4 linked regions of the Solanum lycopersicum genome follow. The protein of the gene in region 2 interacts with the protein of the main gene of each other region in a pairwise test. Links are inferred from orthologs where the notes say so. Each region holds a gene or a part of one and is shown on either strand. Other genes may lie near its edges.

What was found.
Region 1: the proteins of protein BREVIS RADIX (region 2) and FCS-Like Zinc finger 10-like interact in binary tests that used the Arabidopsis thaliana proteins (3 or more experiments, as listed by UniProt). The link is inferred for Solanum lycopersicum from reciprocal best matches to the Arabidopsis thaliana genes BRX and AT5G11460.
Region 3: the proteins of protein BREVIS RADIX (region 2) and protein PHYTOCHROME KINASE SUBSTRATE 4 interact in binary tests that used the Arabidopsis thaliana proteins (3 or more experiments, as listed by UniProt). The link is inferred for Solanum lycopersicum from reciprocal best matches to the Arabidopsis thaliana genes BRX and PKS4.
Region 4: the proteins of protein BREVIS RADIX (region 2) and eukaryotic translation initiation factor NCBP interact in binary tests that used the Arabidopsis thaliana proteins (3 or more experiments, as listed by UniProt). The link is inferred for Solanum lycopersicum from reciprocal best matches to the Arabidopsis thaliana genes BRX and NCBP.

Annotation. Positions count from the first base shown.
Region 1 is NC_090807.1:58,437,580-58,442,836, forward strand, and holds FCS-Like Zinc finger 10-like, read right to left. Parts: upstream 3,238-5,257; 5' UTR 3,019-3,237; intron 2,464-3,018; 5' UTR 2,427-2,463; coding exon 1,357-2,426; intron 1,275-1,356; coding exon 1,124-1,274; 3' UTR 668-1,123; downstream 1-667. UniProt on the Arabidopsis thaliana protein: May act as an adapter to facilitate the interaction of SnRK1 complex with effector proteins, conferring tissue- and stimulus-type specific differences in the SnRK1 regulation pathway.
Region 2 is NC_090807.1:62,145,573-62,149,050, forward strand, and holds part of protein BREVIS RADIX, read right to left. Parts: intron 3,290-3,478; 5' UTR 3,254-3,289; coding exon 3,137-3,253; intron 995-3,136; coding exon 609-994; intron 1-608. UniProt on the Arabidopsis thaliana protein: Acts as a regulator of cell proliferation and elongation in the root and shoot. Regulates roots architecture and primary root protophloem differentiation.
Region 3 is NC_090809.1:61,591,527-61,596,349, reverse strand, and holds protein PHYTOCHROME KINASE SUBSTRATE 4, read right to left. Parts: upstream 2,857-4,823; 5' UTR 2,702-2,856; coding exon 1,220-2,701; 3' UTR 938-1,219; downstream 1-937. UniProt on the Arabidopsis thaliana protein: Modulates phytochrome-mediated control of hypocotyl growth orientation. Involved in PHYA and PHYB signaling. Acts as an inhibitor of asymmetric growth. Not involved in the control of leaf flattening.
Region 4 is NC_090809.1:61,036,994-61,042,449, forward strand, and holds the start of eukaryotic translation initiation factor NCBP, read right to left. Parts: upstream 3,238-5,456; 5' UTR 2,522-3,237; coding exon 2,381-2,521; intron 1,158-2,380; coding exon 1,062-1,157; intron 981-1,061; coding exon 876-980; intron 760-875; coding exon 682-759; intron 1-681. Other genes in the region: uncharacterized protein, read left to right, coding at 3,973-4,191, 4,353-4,733. UniProt on the Arabidopsis thaliana protein: Recognizes and binds the 7-methylguanosine-containing mRNA cap during an early step in the initiation of protein synthesis and facilitates ribosome binding by inducing the unwinding of the mRNAs secondary structures.

The DNA of each region.
Region 1 (5,257 bases), about 3.7 Mb from region 2:
CTATTTGGTGTCAGTGTTTTATGGCTATTTGGTGTCAGCGTTGTTTGCAAGTTACATCAGTTCAGGGGCAAAATGGTAGTGTTAGCTATGCGAGACACAGCAGAAGCAGAAGCAGAACTGGTGTATTGCTAATCTTAAGAGTAAAAGGAATAAGACATCTCTGCTAGTATAACAGATAGAACGTTTACCACGTCCCAAATAGAAGCAGAGCTGGTGTATTTCAAATCTGAAGAAATAGAACGGATCTACTCAATCCCAAACAAGTTAGGATCCGCTACATGAATCATCACTATCAATGTTGCTCTGTGTAAGCCCATCTCAAATACAAAACAAACTAGAGTTATTCTACTGACATACAAATTTTAAAAGAACAACAAGATCCCTAGATGTCTATCAACTATCAAGTACATCCAAGAAAAAGATGACAAGTTGAGGATCAAAAAAATGAGCTAGGATCATGGAGGCAACTGGTTGAGGGGTTTTCCAAGAACAACAAAAACAGAAAACTCAAGAAGCTACGCCATCTTCACCGGACTTAAAAGACCAAATCGACATTAACTAGCATCGGTGAAGTCTGAATCACAATCAAGAAAGCATGTTATGACTAACAAACTTACATAAGCTGAAAACAAACAGATCCTATTAACAGTAAACAACGAGACAAGAATGAGCAATTGCAAAACATTTTTATTCATACATAACATAAGTAATGTATGTAGCCATAAAACATTTGTATTTTTGTCAAACTTTAACAGGTAATATTAGCTTGGTGAGAAACCAAAAATTGGGGAGCCACAAGGATGGGCTACAACCCTTCTAGTTAAGTTTCTTATCCTTCTTTTTTTTTTTTTTGGAGATTATACTCAACTATTACATAAACAAATTCAGAACTATATAAAACAAAATTTGCAGTTTGCGACTATTAACCACTAGGACCATGAGAAAGGAAAGATAGTTCACACAGGTAGCAGCAATACATGATCTGATCATCCATGGCTGCACAAAGATGCACAAAAAAACAGCTCTTAGTAAACAGATGATCAGGGTGTCTAGTTGTTAACCAGTGAGGTGGCGGTTTCATCAATCATGGGCTTAGTAGCTACAGCAGTGCGATTCCGGCATCCTATGTAGCAATGAACAAGCCGGTGTCAAAAACTTCATCACGGCTGTTTGGCTTAATAGAGCTTTCAGAATCATTATTGACTTTCTCCATCTCCTCATCAATTAAAATTGCCTCAGAACGACAATCCAAGCTGCAAAAAGCTTTCTCACCTCTGCAAAACACAATACAAATTTTCACTACGAAGTTCATCAAGTCATTAGAACTGTTAGAATTGCGGTGAATATTGAACAGACCTGTACATGTAAATATCTTTTCCGTCCAGCTTCTTCTTGCAAGAGGAACAGAAGCGCAAAAAATCGCTTGAAGGAAATGAAGTGAGGACCTCTGAGCTGTCCGTCACCTCAGGCAGCACGGTTTTCTCATTAGCATTCTTACAAAAATTGGGCAACTCATTGTTGTGACATTCTAAAATGCAGTCACAAAAGATATGAGTTACTTTGGCATTGGGTCCACGGGTTCTCACACAGGTATAGTCCTCAGAAAGTTGTATGTCACTCGCTGAAATAGAACCAACTAAGCTGGTGTTAGAGCCAACAGGTGTTGGTATAGGACTCAATTTCGCACCACCTGCAGGGTTGCCCAGCTTTGAGCAACCTCTAACACATTTAGTTTGTGAAACCACTGGATTTATTGCATTTTCAGAACCAACAGCCACAGTACGGTTCGCCAAGCTTGCGAACCGTGAGCTAGACCTTCCAGAGTCCAGAGAACAAGAACGAAAATTTCTCGAGTACTCATGCTCCGACAGGGCATCTCCAATTCCAAAGACAACATCAGAACTTCCCTTTCGAAGATTGGAGCTTTTGGACAAAGTATGAGGAAAAATCGAGATATTCTTAGGGAGTGACTTAGGTTCCTCAAGAGAATCATCAACACAGCTCTGAAAATCATGTGCTTTGATCCTCATTTGTGTGCCAAAAAGAATATTTTTACTATCGGATGATCGAAAAACTTTCCCCGAATGTTTCATTTCATCATCAAGAGAATCTACAATGCCAAGGCCTACTTTAGTACAACCCCATGTCTTGTTAGCCCCAGCCCCTTCACTAGTTGATGACCTAAAGGGGTTTCCCAAATTTGAAAAGACCCTAAAATCCAGTGGAGAAGTAGGACTTCTCACTGAGTCAGATTCTGAACCCTTAGGATTAAACCCAACAAACACACCAGGAACATTGAAAAAGGAGTTATTTTTATGTTTCCTAACAAAAACATCAGGTTGAAAATAAGAATCTGAGATACCATCAGACATCAAATGCCCCATTGTTTGAACTTTCTGGTGTGATCTGGTCCTCTTCTTCAACATTATCCTTAAACCCTCAGCCCTAAAAGTCCACCAACACCTGCATCAAGATCCAATATTCTCTGCTTTAGTAAAATAAATCATCAAGAATGTAAAATTTATAAAAAGAAAAGAAAAACCCCAAATGAGAAATCCATCAAAACATCTAAAGAACAACTACATCAAAGCTTGCATTTTTAAAGGGATTAGAGAAGGCAGATGAAAAAAGGCACAAAAAAACAATTCAAAAATCCATAAAACATACCTAGATTGTTAAAGAGAAACCTTTTTCTCAAGAAAATAAATAGTTAGAAATAACAAAAACTAGTCAAAATCAATGAACACCAAGAGTCAACAAGAGAAAGACCTGCCAATGTAGGTTAGGGCCAGAACAAAAAGTTTGAATTTTTTTTTATTTTTTTACAAAAACCACCATTGACATCTATCTCCAAGAAAAATGATTAAACCCACATAAACCCCATTTTCAAGATTTCAACTTTAGGTCATACATCACACAAGAATCAATGAAAAAATCAAAAATCAAAGAAGGGGTTTCATTTTCTTGATGGATTTTCAATTTTTTTTCAAAAGGGGATTCACAAAGAGAGAAAACCACCTGGTAGATTAGTTCCAGAAGCTTCAAAGAATTTAGTTTATGAGAGAAAAGAGTATAAATGCAAAGAGGAAAACTCTTTCCCTTTTATCTCTCACAGTAGTGTGTGTGTGTGGCTTCTTCAGTACATCTTTTTCTTTCTCTTTCTCTCACAATTTGCATCAAAATCAGTAAATAGTGAGAGCTTCTCAAATACTCTTTCAGTTTCTCTCTCTGTGTAGAAAATACACAAAATACATGTATGTATAAATACAATGAATAATAAATGATGTAGATAATTTTTGTTTGACTTTTATTTGAAATTTTTTATTTTTTGGAAAAAAATAATAATTAAGCCATTAAGATGGTCCATTAAAAAAGTAGAAGTAGTAACATGAGAGATAAGCAAGTATTAATTGGTAAGAAATTATTTCAAAATGGGTGTTTATATTAAATTATTATTACTAGAGCAATAAATACATCAAATGTTTTATATAAACAAACTAATTATTTAATCATAAATAATTATATTATTTAATCATGATCAATTGATAAGGTTTAATGAACAATTCTTGATCAAATTTATTTTTCATTTATTTTGGAGATAAAAGATATTTTAAAAGAGCTTGTCAAATTAATTATCGTCTTGGATTAATATCTAGACATTTATAAATTATTTGGTTAGAAATAATTTATTCAAAAATTAATATTATCGTGATATTTTCTTATAAAAAAATGTCAAATTAATCTTAGTCTATGATTAATATTAAGACATTTATGATTTGTTTGGTTAAGAACAAATTATTCTAATTTTATATGATCGAAATATTTTAAAAGAATATGTCAGTAAATATAGTATAAACTTTAAGATATTTATGATTTATTTGGTTTTGAACAAATTATTTGAACGTTTTATGATAATCGAGATATTTTAGAAGAACTTGTATAATTATTTGTATATCTTTAAAAAAAAATGTCAAATTAATTGTAGTTTTTGCTTTATCAAGACATTTATAGTTCGTTTGGTTGACAACAAGTTATTTGAAGATTATAGTTATGATTGGAATATTTTTAAAATATTTTAAATTAATTACTCATATTTTTTTTATTAATATCAAGACACTTATGATTTATTTGATTGAAAATAAATTATTTAATGATTATAATAATTGATACTTTTTAGAATAATATGATTCATTGGACTAGAACAAATTATTCAAATATTAAAACATTGAAGAATTCTAGAAAAATAAATCAAATTAATTGTGGTTGTCAGTAATGATTTATTTGATTAGAAACAAGTTATTCAAAATATTTAATAGTAAAAATATTTTAAAAGAAAATATATCAAATTAATTGTAGTCTTTGATTAATATCAAGACATTCGTAATGATAAGTTAAGTTAAAAACAATCATTCATGGGATGCAATGGATATAACTATTCCTTTTTAAATTGAAGATCTTAAGTTTGAGTCACGAGTAAAAAAAATAATTGTAAGAAATATTTTCTTTTGATTAAAGTTACGAGTAAAAAAAAATCTTTAATAAAAAATATTTTCTTTCGATTAAAGCTATATGCACCAAAAATTAAAAATAATCAACTTCAATTTTAATATCATACACAAAATTAATATATATATATATATATAAAACTTGAAAACAAGCTATCTAAATATTATACTGATTGCATTACAATTATAATTAAATAATGATAAAATAAATTAAGTGAAAATAATATAATATAATTAACTAGGATATGTATGGGTTGAGACTATAAATCAATATATTTTAATACTATTTATAATTGCTCATAAAAAAGTAAATTAGTAACGTAAAAGATAATCAATTTGCAACTGTTTATATTAAATTATATTTATAGCGTAAAACATATTTATATCATCAAATATATTATTTTTGAAATTGATAGAAATATAGCTCCATGTACAACAAGTTTTTTCAATATATCCACCAAATTCATTCTTAATAATTTTGAGGGATAAAAGGATTAAAAAAAAATAAAACATCAATTATAATTATATTTGGTCAATATTGTCAAAAAACTGAAAGGTGAAAGGCAGGGGTCGACCTTAAGGTTGAATTTGTATATTTTAAAATAATAATTTTTTATTTACGAAATAAAAAAATAAATATGATCTCACTTATTTTCCAAAACAATATTTTCTAAAAAGAACTAATCATATAAAATATTTTAAAATATTATTACTTCATATCACACCATTTATGTCTTCAGCAAAACTCAAAG
Region 2 (3,478 bases):
AAAAGAACCCAGGGATATTTATTGTCAGGACCATCAAAGGGTGTTTCAATAAGATACACATAACACTGATATTTTCAATAAGGATAGGAATAATACAGATAGCAAGTGGACAATTTGACAGCTTATCGGGCCACCTAGAAAGCTACATAACACGGATACTTTCAATAAAATAGGTCATCATTTCAGATGGCATTCAAAACACATCAACTAAGTAATAAGAATGGCACATGTAGTAAGTAAGATAATTGAAGGCTCAGTACTAAACAAGTGAAATATTTTAGTAGACATGACTCTTGAGGGAATAAAGAAAGGGGAAACTCAATAAGAATTCATGAATGAATGAAAGGGACTAAACATTGGCCTAGGATAAGATTAGGCAAAGAAGCTTTCAGTACAAAAGAGACTGTTTCTTATAGTATTCATAGGCAAGAAGTTATCATAATCATAATTCCCATAATTTCATTCTAGACGACGACTCTATCCGAAGTTAGGATCAGTTACATGAATCCTTATTGTCTATGTCACTCCATTTAAGCTCATCTTAGTCCAATATTATATACTATGATAAAGTTTTGTGGTAGAAATGAAGAGAGACTTTTGATAGATACCTAAATCGGATTCGTTTAAGATCATTTCCACCATTAGGGAGAGAAACAAAAGTGATCTGTACACCAGGTTCAACATGTGCAGTCCACTCTTTTTGTCCATCATCTTCCGCCACTACCTCACCAGACTGAGAAATAGATTCTACACCACCACCACCACTAAATCCTCTAGCAAATCTTGAATCAGGCCGCGGAGTCCTTAGATTACCAGCACTAGTAAAATCCCAAGCTGGAGTAGAGCTTGAACTTGCTGGTTGAAAAGGATATGGAACTCCCTCTGATATTGTATCAAAATCAGGATAAGGTCTATGACCTTTCCTGTAAGTACCAGTTGGTGTTGATGACTTGCATTTATATGCACCAGAGACCTTTAAAGCAATATCCTTGATCTGCAAATGTTAAAAAATTATTAGTTCATAGCAACTTAGTACAACATCAAGAAGATGGATTGTTGATTATAAGATTAGCTACAGTATTAGCATAAGTTAAAACAGTTAATATGTAAAGTTCAATACTAATAAATATATGCATAAATGGCAAATATATGAACAAAGAAATTACAATAGAATGAAGAGTAAATTGTTTAGGATCCACTCTTTAGGATTATGAAGCGAAATGCTCAACATGTTTTTGCCTCTAGCTTCGGGGCTTAAGCGTGAGTTTGACAATATTAGTTTAACAGATTAAATGTTACTCTCATTGGCAAGGAAAAGTATGTTTCATGAAGTGAAATGCTCAACATGTTTTACCCCTATCTTCAAGGCTTAAGCGCGCTTTAACGATAAGTCAATACTAGTTTAACAAATTAATGACTGTTCTGCCTATTTCAGACAGTAGGAAGTGATTCCACCTATTACTGCTGCTAGAAATGGTATCTTTCTTGTACTATCAAACAAAGAACATCAAAGCAGAAGATCTCTTTATAGGTCCAAAAGCAAAACTTACTGTTTGAAAGTCACTTAATTTCAGAAGTTAACTTTCTGGGGATAGTGATGAATTCAACAGTTGAATTTGTGAAGGATTGAGTAAATTGGAGGCTGGACTACAGTGAATGAACAGATATATCAATGGCTGGTCATGTCAAAGATAATTCAGACAAGTCTTTGCCCAGACTAGTCTACATTTTAGATCTTCTTTTTATTGGTTTTGCAACTTCTAAGTAGACTTGACCAAAACATAATCACAAAGATCACTTCAGTTGAACTCACATAACCCGTCATGAAATTTGTCTTTGCTTATCCATCGTTCAAGGTGTCTGTCGAATCCTCCAAAAGTTGCACATTTCTTAAAGATCTGACTAGTGCAACAACACTTTTGACGCGTCCAAACAACATAGCTTATCATTATAGGCCTTCCTATACATTATACTTTATTATTATTATTGTTCTAAGCTTTCTTAGTGGTCCAATTGGTCAGCCTTACAAACTTCAAAATATTGTTAGTTTCAACAACTTTGGGATGGAAATGAAGAAGTAAGATAGGAAAGTATTAAAATCATAATTGCAAGATGATCTAAAATAAGGACCACTAGATGAAAGCAAACTAAAGTAAAGAAAAACATTATGGGACCAAAGAACTTAGACACATGATCCAAGAAATAACGTGAACATGACCCAATCTACATGCTAAACAAAAAAGAGTGGGGTCAAATAATTTAAAAGTCATATTATAAGTAACCATAGTGCCCACAAATACAAATGGACTCAATGGATTTTCATATGGGATAACCACAAATCGTGATCTAGTTTTACATATACACGTTTTGATAATCTCACATTCAAAACTCATCGGAGATAAAAAAACACTCTAATTTTACCTAATTACATGTCGTCGGTGGATAGTAGCAAGTATCTCGAGGAATTAATTGAGATGCGCGAAAGCTAAGTCTGAACACCAAGATGATAATTAAGAAAATAAAAGTAACATTCTATGGTCCTCACTCCACCCCCGCGTGACCAACAAAATTGTTTATTTCATGTTACTCTTGTTAACCTAATGTCCAAATATAGCCCAAAATCCAGTTAGGAAATGTGGGCCCAAAAGGATGAAATGTGGGGCCCTATTAAAGATATAGGGGCTAAAGCGACAGGTCTCGTACTAAGAGTTAGCTTTGCTTTGAACAAAGAAGGAAAAAAAAAAAGTTTATAAACATTTTTGACAAAAAAATATTTAAATTTAACTACAATGAAATTCAATATAATAAACGGTATTATTAAATCGAAATAACATCTGAAATTATAAGATAAATAAGCCTCTCTAAACCATACAAATGAGGGTCAAAACTCGAATGAAGGGTTTGATTGAATAGTGAAGAGTCTCACTCGTGCCTTCACTACTATCAGTAACGGGAATATATTCAGTAAAATCTCACTAAGTAGGATCTGAGAGAGGGAAAATTTATACCAATTGTATCACTATCTCGCGGAGCTGGAAATCACGTCTTCAAACTACAAACGTCTTAATAATAATAATGAAATATGATATTCGAAATAGATTATTATAATGAAATTTCAAAAGTAGAAAAATAGTACCTGTGCTGTGAGGCTTTTGATGGAATCTTTAGTATGGGGAGTAGGAGCACGGCCACGAGGTCCTTCTTCACCTCCATCATCTTCTATCTTTTGCTTACACGTTATACATGTCAACATCCTTCTCCTACACTCTCCCTTACTATATCTTTTCTCCTACAAAAAATAATTAAAATGAGTTAAGAGTAAAAAAAAAAGATATAATACATTTAAATTTATGTCTTTTTTAACTTTGGGCGTACACAAATAGACACTTAAACATGTATAAAGTTGAACAAATACACACATGTCATTTTTTGTCCTACATGTATTGTGTCATGTAGGACTCATGAGTTTATTTATTCA
Region 3 (4,823 bases), on a different chromosome or scaffold from region 2:
GCAAAATTTCACAAAAAAATAATTATCCAAGCCAAAACGGGAAGTTGGAATATTTTGAAACTAAATTTTTAAATATATTCAAATTTCAGGATCAAACAAATATTTATAGATAATTTTTCAAAATCTATAATTAAGCAATAGATTGATAATTTTTATATATATTATTTAAATAAAAATATTATTTTATTCACGTGATCTACCCTCGTTTGAACAAGAGAGCCTCTAGTTAGGTGCATGAACAACAACAAAAAATGTCATACATTTTGGCCTACCTATAATTCAGATGACCCCAACTAGACCCTCTTCATGCATTTACTATATTTTGCTTGGTAAAATTAAAGTTTTTTTGTCGTTAAACATGTTATAAGATTTGTATGGTTATAATAAAATTAAAATATTTGATTTTAAATATATGATAATGTTCGTACCATTATAAACTTTGAAACTATGATCTTAACTCTTTAAGTATTTCATAATATTTGAGTATATTCCTGTAAAAGCTTGTCACTAAACGTAGAAATAAAATTTTAATAAGTAAAAATACATGTACATGTAAATATATGGTATTTATTCTCTCTTAATAAAGACCTTAAATTCCATACTTGAATACAAGGAGCATTTCACTTTTTAACGGGTCTTATGTTGCAATAACTCAGATCAGTCAAAGTCTTAATACAAAAATCAACTGTTTGGAACCCAAAAAAAAGTGACAAGTTGAAGTTAAAATTTTAAAATATATCTTTTGTTTCAATTTATTTATCTTATTTTAATCTAGTTCCTAGTTTATAATTAAAGAAAACTTTTTAATCAATGATATATACCCAATGTACAAAAAAAATCATTTAATCTTGTAATGCTAGGACATATTACATGAAATGTTCAAATTACAAGTTTTCAAAGAAAAAAAAGACATTGTTTAAAACAAATCACTAAAAAATTAAAATAAAAAAATATCATTCTTTCTGAATTAAACTAAAAAGGAAAAAAAATATTGCTACATAAACTCCAATAAAGAGTACTAAAAAATACATAAAAAGAAATATTACTATAAATTACAATAATAAATAATTTAAAAAACTAAAATCAAAAGATTTTTTTTTCATAATTCCCTAAATAACAATAAAATCACGCTTCGAATAACAGTAGCGTCACGTAAAATAAAACGAGAAAGAGAAAAAAACATATAAACACCAAACATGAGTACGAAGGAAGTTATTTGTCATGCTGCAAATGCAAGAGACAAGCGAGCTGAATGAGAGCTTGCGAGAGGTGGCTTATTAGCTCTACTTCCCACATGTCCTGCCGTTGATTTCAACGGCAGTTGCGACGGTGGCCCATCGGGCGACCCATATTTAACTGGCTGCGGTCCCACATTTACCGCTTTTTCATGCCGACAACTCAACAACCCACCCCCTTTCCACTTCCCTCCATCACCACCACCACCGCCACCAAAAAATTGAGTATTCGTCTCGATTTCTGAAATAGTTGAATAATTAGTTACACTAGTTCGATCGAAACCTTCAGCTGTTGTAACACTCCAGTCAATACTCACTTCACTTGGTGCATAACACTCTGTAGCTGCAACACTAGGTGTACCAGGCTCTTCGAGTGAATTTCGTTGACGATATAACGGACAGGATGAATTCGCCATTGAAGTCGAAAAGCTCTCGATTTCGAATAGATCGGAGCTTGCATCGCTTGCTACATCGTCATCTGTAGCTGTTATTCGAGACATTGGACTACCTGGGAAGGGGAAATTATTGCATCGATGGTGATCTGTTTCGATTGATTTTCGAGTAGATGGTTGAAATACCTCGAGTGAATCTCGAGGCGGATCTTCTAAAATTGGGGAAATCGATGATCTTGTTGATGGAGGTTTGATTCCTAATTTGGATTGACCTGAATGGTTCAGAATTGGGAATGAAAATCCTCCACCTGGCACCTCGGTAAACGGTCTAACCGGTGCCAGTACACGTTGTTGACAGCTGATTGTACCAGCTGTACCACTCTCTGATTCTGATGATCTTCTCTGAATCGCTCCAATTTTATTAGTCTCTGACCTGACCACCACTCCTCTGTGTTGAATTTCAATTGAACTTTTCTGAGATAGGTTAGTTGATTTCTCAACTACAACTTTACTACTGTGTTTGACGGGGAAATGCTGCTCGGAGCCAGTTTCTGTTCTTGGCTCCGAGCTAGCTTCCTCAACCTGCACAGATTTCTTCCCAGAACAAGGGCATTTTCGACAGAAAAACCATTTACGAGTATTAAACGAACCACTTCTTTTGTCATTCGTATTAATACTCTTCAATGAAACTGATACTGCACCTGGAGGATTTGCTAATAATCCTGTCTGGCTATTCCAACTCGCTTCTGACGAAGCAGTTGGAGTAGCACGAAAGGAATTAGCACGGAAGTTTCTTCCGTAGGCATTGTCTACGGAAGAAACTGACGAATGTCGATGACCTGATGGTAATTCACATTGATCATTTACATTTTTTTGAGCAACAGGAGATGATTCATTGCCTTCACTGAAGTATTTTTTCGCATCGAACACGTTGATTTCGGAATCATCAGGACTATGATCTTCTGGTTTGAGATATGAAGAGAATGATGCATCTTTTAGTACATGATTTTGTACAAAAGCTCTGTATTGAAGAGGATGTTCTGTTAAAGTTTTAACTGTTGTTTGGGAATCCATATCTTTTTCTCCTTTTTGTGATTATTTTTTTTTTGGTTGTACAACTAAACTATAGATAGTACTATTATTTATAACAATTTTTGAGAGAATATTGTTTCTGATAATTTTCTTGACTATCTGTCAGTTTTTTTGGAGTTATAATAAAAGAACGTGTAGACAATGGTCGTGTTGGAGTGATTTGATTATTAATACGTACTCTTTTATTCTTAATCAAAAGATTTGGATTTAAGTCTTTCTGAAAACAAAATCGTCTTTGTTAGGAAGCATTGTATCTGATTCAAATTTTTTTTTTTACATGTGGCATGTTTAAGATCACAAGATTAAAGGGTAGTTTTGTACATTTCACGTTAACTTTAGTTTAGTATCACAAGATTAAAAATCTTCTTTATTTTCTTAAATTTCGTGTTAAACCAAATCAGATTATTCTTTTTAAAATAGAGAAAATACTTCTTAATGTAAAAATTTTCGACAGAAATTTAAATTTAATCAAGCTCTAATTTTAATATCGAGCATCGAAACATCAAATGGAAAATCAAAATAATAATAATAAAGGAACCTTCCTTTTATATATATATATATATATAAGTTTTATTTTTTATTTTCAGTTTTGAGGTTCCAATGATTGGAAATAGAGAATGATGAAAAACTATGAGAAAATTATAGTAGTGATTGTACAATCTACCAACTCTTTTTCAAGTTATATCAGTAATATTTTTTATGATTGGTTAACAATATTTTTATGTTTGATCGATTAAATAAAATGACTTTATTTAAATAAGAAAAGAAAAACATATTTTATAAGTCATAGTTTACTTACAAGCGTAAAAAAATTTAAAACACTTCTTTTGAAAAATAAGAATTAGTTTATATGTTTTAAAAATTTGGTAAAAATGTTTAATCTATTGTCCATGTAAACTAATGGTAGATATCAATTTCAAGTCCCATGTTCATATTAATTTAGCCAACAACAGTGGTTGGATAATGGAATTATATTATTTATTGTCACTTATTATTACACAGAGAATTATTTAGTGGAAATTTGGTCCTGTTGATATAGACCTGAAAAATATTGATGAGATGTAGCAATAATTTTGAAGAGGACCTTTATTGACATGCATTGCCCACTGGTAGTTGTACATTTAATTAAGATTAAAATTAAAATGATGTAATATATATAAATAGACATCTTAATTTGACATTAATGGGTATTGAGCATGTTATCTTTGAATATATATATTTAGACAGTTAACTTGTTTTAATCGTGTCTCGTTAACACTTGATGTTGAGATGATATACAAATTTAGTGGTGTCTAGATGAACATAATTTTTGTTATAAGTTTGAATGTTCAACTGACACATAAAGTGAGTTGAATTGTTCAAATGTGCATCCTTAAAATTAGGGTATTTATTTTACGTTAAAATAGAGTTAAGATGTCTATTTATGTATTATGTCACGTTAAATTGTGTAAATAGATGTAGTACTATATACAATGCACTTGTAATTTAAGGATCAATTCGCTCGACATCCGGACTGACACGAGGTCGAAAACAAAAAAAATATTTTGAATTCTCTAACTGAAAAGTTGACTTCATCATTACCTTAAATAAGTAAATTTTATTTAAACACTCGAACAATAACATGATCTAATTGATCACACCTGAATAACATGATAAAGTGTTCCTAATAAACGCTTCTGGTTCAAACTTTTAAAAAGATTATGCGGACATTAAAAAGTTGTAGCGAGTCTGCAAGACATATTCAATTTTAGTTGAGACTCTACATGAAGTATTTGATTCATGTTAGATTTTTAGAGACTACTCTAATTCTAAACCCTAATTTTATATCTAAATAAAGTGTATTATATTCGAGACATTTGCATATTCCACAAATTCATGAAATATTCATAAAGAGATCAAATTCAAACCATCTCAGTTCAAGAAATCGGTGATCATCGAATGATGGATAAAAAGAAGAATCGAGGGAGAAATAAAACTAAACCCTACACTACATATTGAGCGATAAATATTCACGTTTCTTTATATATATTTTTTTGTGATTATAATTTATTTTCTGTCACTTTATGATTTTCCACGCACCTCTTGAGCAAGTAATAGTTACATT
Region 4 (5,456 bases), on a different chromosome or scaffold from region 2:
CATGATATATGTGGAAACAATAACATCAATCCTACCTAAACATCTATTTGAGTAAATTCACAATAAGCAAATGCATGTACTCCAAGATGAGAATACTTCAAACAGACTCAACTTTTTGGTTAGATATTGGGAATCTAAGGCAGCATGAAAAATTCAGCTACTGACAAAAATGAGGAGAACATCAATGTAACAACACATCCTTTAGGAGAACAGATTACAGGATACTGATGTAAAAGTCTGGTCACAGAAATCACTTCAGCTTCTAGTGCCCTTTCTTTTCTTCTTCTTCTCTTTTCATTTAAGTGGTAGACCCTGCTCCTTAAACCCCACATAGTCCCCACTTGATAAGCAGCATCTTTTCCAACTCCCCCCTTGATGAGGTCCCCATCATGGTTGGAGATAGAGAATCCATTTCACTAGACTGTCCTCTTTTGTCAGCTTCTACTGCTTACCTATGGAAACCTATGTGAGATTGTTTGCTAAGGGGCATCTCAGCCCTTGCATAAAATGGAGTTAGAAATTTCCTCTGTTTGGATATTCGTGCTTTATATTGTCAAAATCTAAATTTTGTCGTGGCTACTATAGATTGACTTAAAAATTTATTTCTGCACTTAATGTTTATTAGCCAAAAAAGTCCAGTTAAGTTGACAGAAAACAAAAATCGCAGGGCAGCTGGCTTACCAGGTCCTCCCAAAAACGTCCTGAGACAGCCTTTTTAAAACGAATTATCCACTTCCCACCATGGCAATTAGCAGCATCCTTCACAGACAAATATAATCAAGAAATTAACTCAGGTAAGAGGTATACATAGTTAAGGACTTCAACAAAATTGAAGACGCAGAAAAGAAATAGTTAGGATGAGCACCAAAACTAACCTCCCATAAAGGACGAATACCCTCTCTGAAAAGATGCAAATCAGTTGGGCTGGGCAATGCTGATGGGCGAGCCAAGTGGCAGTAGCAAACCCAAAACCCTTCAACCTATGGATGGAGAACACATAAGGGATTAAAGAGGCAGTTAAATTCACATAAAGCCAAAAGACCAGAAACAAATTGACTTACAGTACTAAAATCAACAATTTTCTTTATATTGTCCTCGTATGATGTTTGTGTTCGAACCCCAGGTGTCCGGCGAGTGTACCAGAAAACAAACTTGTTCTGATCATGACAATGAAGCTAAGTGAATACCAGAAGCACAACTCAAACGAAAAAGAAAGCAAAAGATGGAAAGTAAACATGGTTGGAATACTGTGCTTATAGAAATACGAAGTTGTGTCCCTACCATATATTTTTTTTTATGAATAGTGGGAAAACATAGCATGGTAATATGCTACAAGCATATGGTAGTCATCATATGCACATGCTCCTAGATATATCTTCAATTCTACAATCCTCCTGGCCTGACTGGCACAGTGAGCATGTTTGTTTTGGCCATCTCCAAAGAAGAAATGCAGATAATTGCATGCACGCCACACATTTGACCACCAATATGGTATTGATTGTTAAAAAATAGTAGCTACTAGTAAAACAGAGAAGAAATGCAAGCATATTAAATACAGGATCCTACAAGATCATGAGACTCTACAATGGGCTTTCAGGAAGTAAGCATCACTAGTATGGGAAATATGATGCTCAAAATTTGTCACTTCATACTCATGAGCCTAGTTTCAATTCCTGAATCTACTGTATTTCCCAAATTTCTGGAGTATATTATGTATAAAGGTAAGATCTTGATGCAGAATTCTCTCAGAAGCACTATGTCCAATCTTTATCACCTAAGATCATACTTATTTGTCCACATGTTGTATTTCCTTTCTCTAGTAGGAAGTGCTTTAATAGTAGTTTCAATGTTATGTATTTAGTTCAAAACAAGTCTCTGGATAAATTGATGTTTTTGCCTGAATGTGAGGTCCTACAACCAGTTTATTACTCCGTAGCTTAAGCAAACTATATTTTTCATGACAATGGTGTCCGAGCCAACTTATGTACACCACAACTATTCCACTAATATACCAACTTAATAATATTTGTTCAATAAAAAGTAGAACTTTCAATAAAGCAGTCACATATTCAGCTCCCTTGCATCAACAGCCTAACAGAGGAATGATTATGAACAAAAGCATACAAATTTGAACTAACCTATAAATTGTGCAAAATAAAATAGTAAACATTTTTCTAGAAATAGTCACAAATTGCATAAAAACCCCAAACAAACAACAAGTATGAGTAGAAAGCATAAAAATTTGAACTCCACCAAGCCTAAAAACTAAATATAACAAAATAGCTGCAAATCGCATCAAACAACCTAGGTTTGAACTTGATGAACCTAAAAATAAAATAAAGTTTGCTGAAATAGTCGAAAAATAAAACAAAAATGAAACCTTGAGAGGATGCAAGCCGGCTTTTAGGTCAACAGCGATGCGTTCACGATCCTCGGCGGCTATTGAGGGATCGATAATTAGGGATTGAGTGCTGTTCGTGTTCTTGTTATCCAATTCTTTCTTCTCCGATGTCACTTCCATTTAGTTCCGGCGAATCTCAGGCGACAACTCTTGTATCTGATTTTTTTCGAGAAGAGGATTTTTCCAGAATGAAAACGAAGAGGGATTGTATATGACTGCGGCTCCCCTTCTTCTACAAACGAATCGGGTTATTCCAGACCCATTTCAACAATCGGGTCAACCCGGTACTGAATTAAATTGTTGAAAATCCAACCCATTTACTTAAAAATAATTATAAATAACTTTTATCTGATTTAAATCGATTAAAAAAAAAGATTTTCTGCTATATAAATAACTTCGATTTTATAATAATAAAAGTTGTTAGAATATAAGTACACATTACTTAAATCTTTTGCTTTATTATATTTTGAATTTTGTTTTCTACTATTCAACTAAATGGTCCAATTCCATACATAATAGTCATTGTTGTGTGATCGTAAAAAAAATTTAATTAATGAGATAAATATATTTTAAGTTTTTTAAATTTGTCAATAAATTTTATATAGATATTTACATTATAGTTTATTCTGATTGAACATTTGAATACATGGAAGTTGAGAGAGTTTGATCTAAAGTTGCATCCAAGAGTATAGCTCAACCAGCTATTAATGAAATAATTGAAAATTAACACAGAAATAATTCGAATTTCAAATCAAAGTGTATAAATATATATATATATATATATATATATATATATATATATATATATATATATATATATATATATAAAGTGATGCAAATTATATTTCAGTTTTATCCTAACTAAATATTGAACTAATGAAAATGACTATGTACTAATCCAATTAATAATTGAGATAAATATCAAAGTTTAGATTAGCCTCCTCATATGTAGGGCTGATATTTTTCACATAGTGATAAGCTTCCACCTATCTACTATATCGCCATCATAACCAAACAAGAAGTTTCAAATATTCACTCTCCAAGGTGCAAGAAGACATTTTTCATATTGAGTGCCTTCATTCAATAAAAATCCCACATTAATTACCATCAAAGCCACTCTTTTTGACTTTTCAATTCCCAAAACAATCAAAACTCCGTAGCCGATGAAGTGATTGACAATAATGAGATCTCATGTTTTAGTGGTTAATTAAGTAATTGAAAGTTATGAGATTTCATGTTTAAATTTCAGTAGAAATAAAAATATTAGGTGAATTTTACATATTTATCGATATTTTAATGGAAAAAATTAGCTGGTAATTTATAAAATATGACATGTGAATCTAACTCAACCCCAGAATTTAGCTCATGATATAGAATATGCTCAAGTTCACGTAAGAGAGACCACTGGTCCATTCTCAAAACTCTAACCCCTCTAACATAAATAACCATGGAATTAGTCGAGATGTACACGTCTAGAGTGGTAAAAAGGAATTAGGACTCCTCTAAATTTCAAACTATTTAACCTCTACTACTCTTTAACTCCCCTGCTTTCATTCATTGAGAAAAAAAAAATGGATCTTCAAGAATGGGAACTTCTTTCTGATAATGGACTTCTTGAAGTACTCCATGATGATAGAGACAAATTTTTGTCTATGGAGTATACTTCTAGTTCCAAAAAAGTGCCAAATCAAGTAGTAATTCCATTACTAATTCAACAAGAACCAAGTATACAAAAGCCCCAAGAAGATGAAGAAGTCATTAAAGAAGTTATCACCAAGGTTCCACTTGAGGTAAACATGTTACCACCTAATATAAAAGTTTCAAACTTTAGATCGCGATCGTCTCATCTAAAAGCTTAAAGATGGTTATATTTTCATTGTAAGTCATCTTTCATGAGTTAAATAGTGCGATCGTCTCATCCGAAAGTTTAAATTGTATTGTATCTCAACAGGATGAGGAGGATAAAAAGTCTCAAGTTTTCTTCAAGAAAATGAAGGAAAGTGAATTTGAAAACATGAAGTTGGATTCACCCAAGTTTAGTAACAAGACTAGTACTGTGTCTCAAATTGATTCAATGAGTTTCCCCTTTGAGGTTAAAGCTGAAGTCTTGGAAGTTGAAAATGAGAGTTTGATCAAGAAAAGGGATAGTAATGAAGAGAAAAATAATGGTGGAGTTAATCTGTGGAACTGGAGATTGACTGGAATTGGTGCAATTTGTTCATTTGGGGTTGCAGCTGCTGCTGTTACGATTTGTATCTTTATTGGAAATCATCAAAAACAGAAACAGCATAAGCAGAATCAGAAGCTTAAATTCCAATTTTCTGATGACAAGGTTTGTGTAGTTATGTTGTCATGTTATTCTTGCAAGTTATGTTTCCATAATTGTTTTATCGAGCCGAGAGTCTGTTAGAAACAGTCTTTCTACCTCACAAATGTATAGTTTAGTCTGTGTACATCCTACCGTTCCCAAGACTCCTATCAGAAACAGTCTTTCTACCTCACAGAAGTAGGGTAAGGTCTGTGTACATCCCACCGTTCCCAGCTCCACTTGTAATGTCTTTCTACCTCACAGAAGTAGGATAAGGTCTGTGTACATCCTACCGTTCTCTGACTCCACTTGTGCATAAAGTGATCAGGGGAGGGGAAAAGTGTATTTTTCTTGAACCTGAGGGGACTTCTCAGAGTTAAAATCTTTCTGCGATATGCTTCGTTTACCTTCTTTTTGTTATGCTATAAGTTAGCAAAGCCTGAAAAGGCAAACACTTCGGCCTAACAAAAATGAGCAAAGAGGAAATGAGACGATGAGGTGACTCAGGTACCCCGTTTAGAAAGAGGGGGTGAAGATTTTTGGCATGTATCTTTCCCCGTCCCCCTTCATCAGGCAGTGATTATGTTTGAGGGTGTGTTACCAGAAATCGGGCTTGAAGCTCTCACCTTACCAACAAGCCTTGGTGGTATTCACCCTTCAGTAGCGTAGCCACATATAGTGAACTATGGTCAGTTGAACATCTTTAGTCCGAAAATCAATACATATAGATGAAAAACTACTGTCATT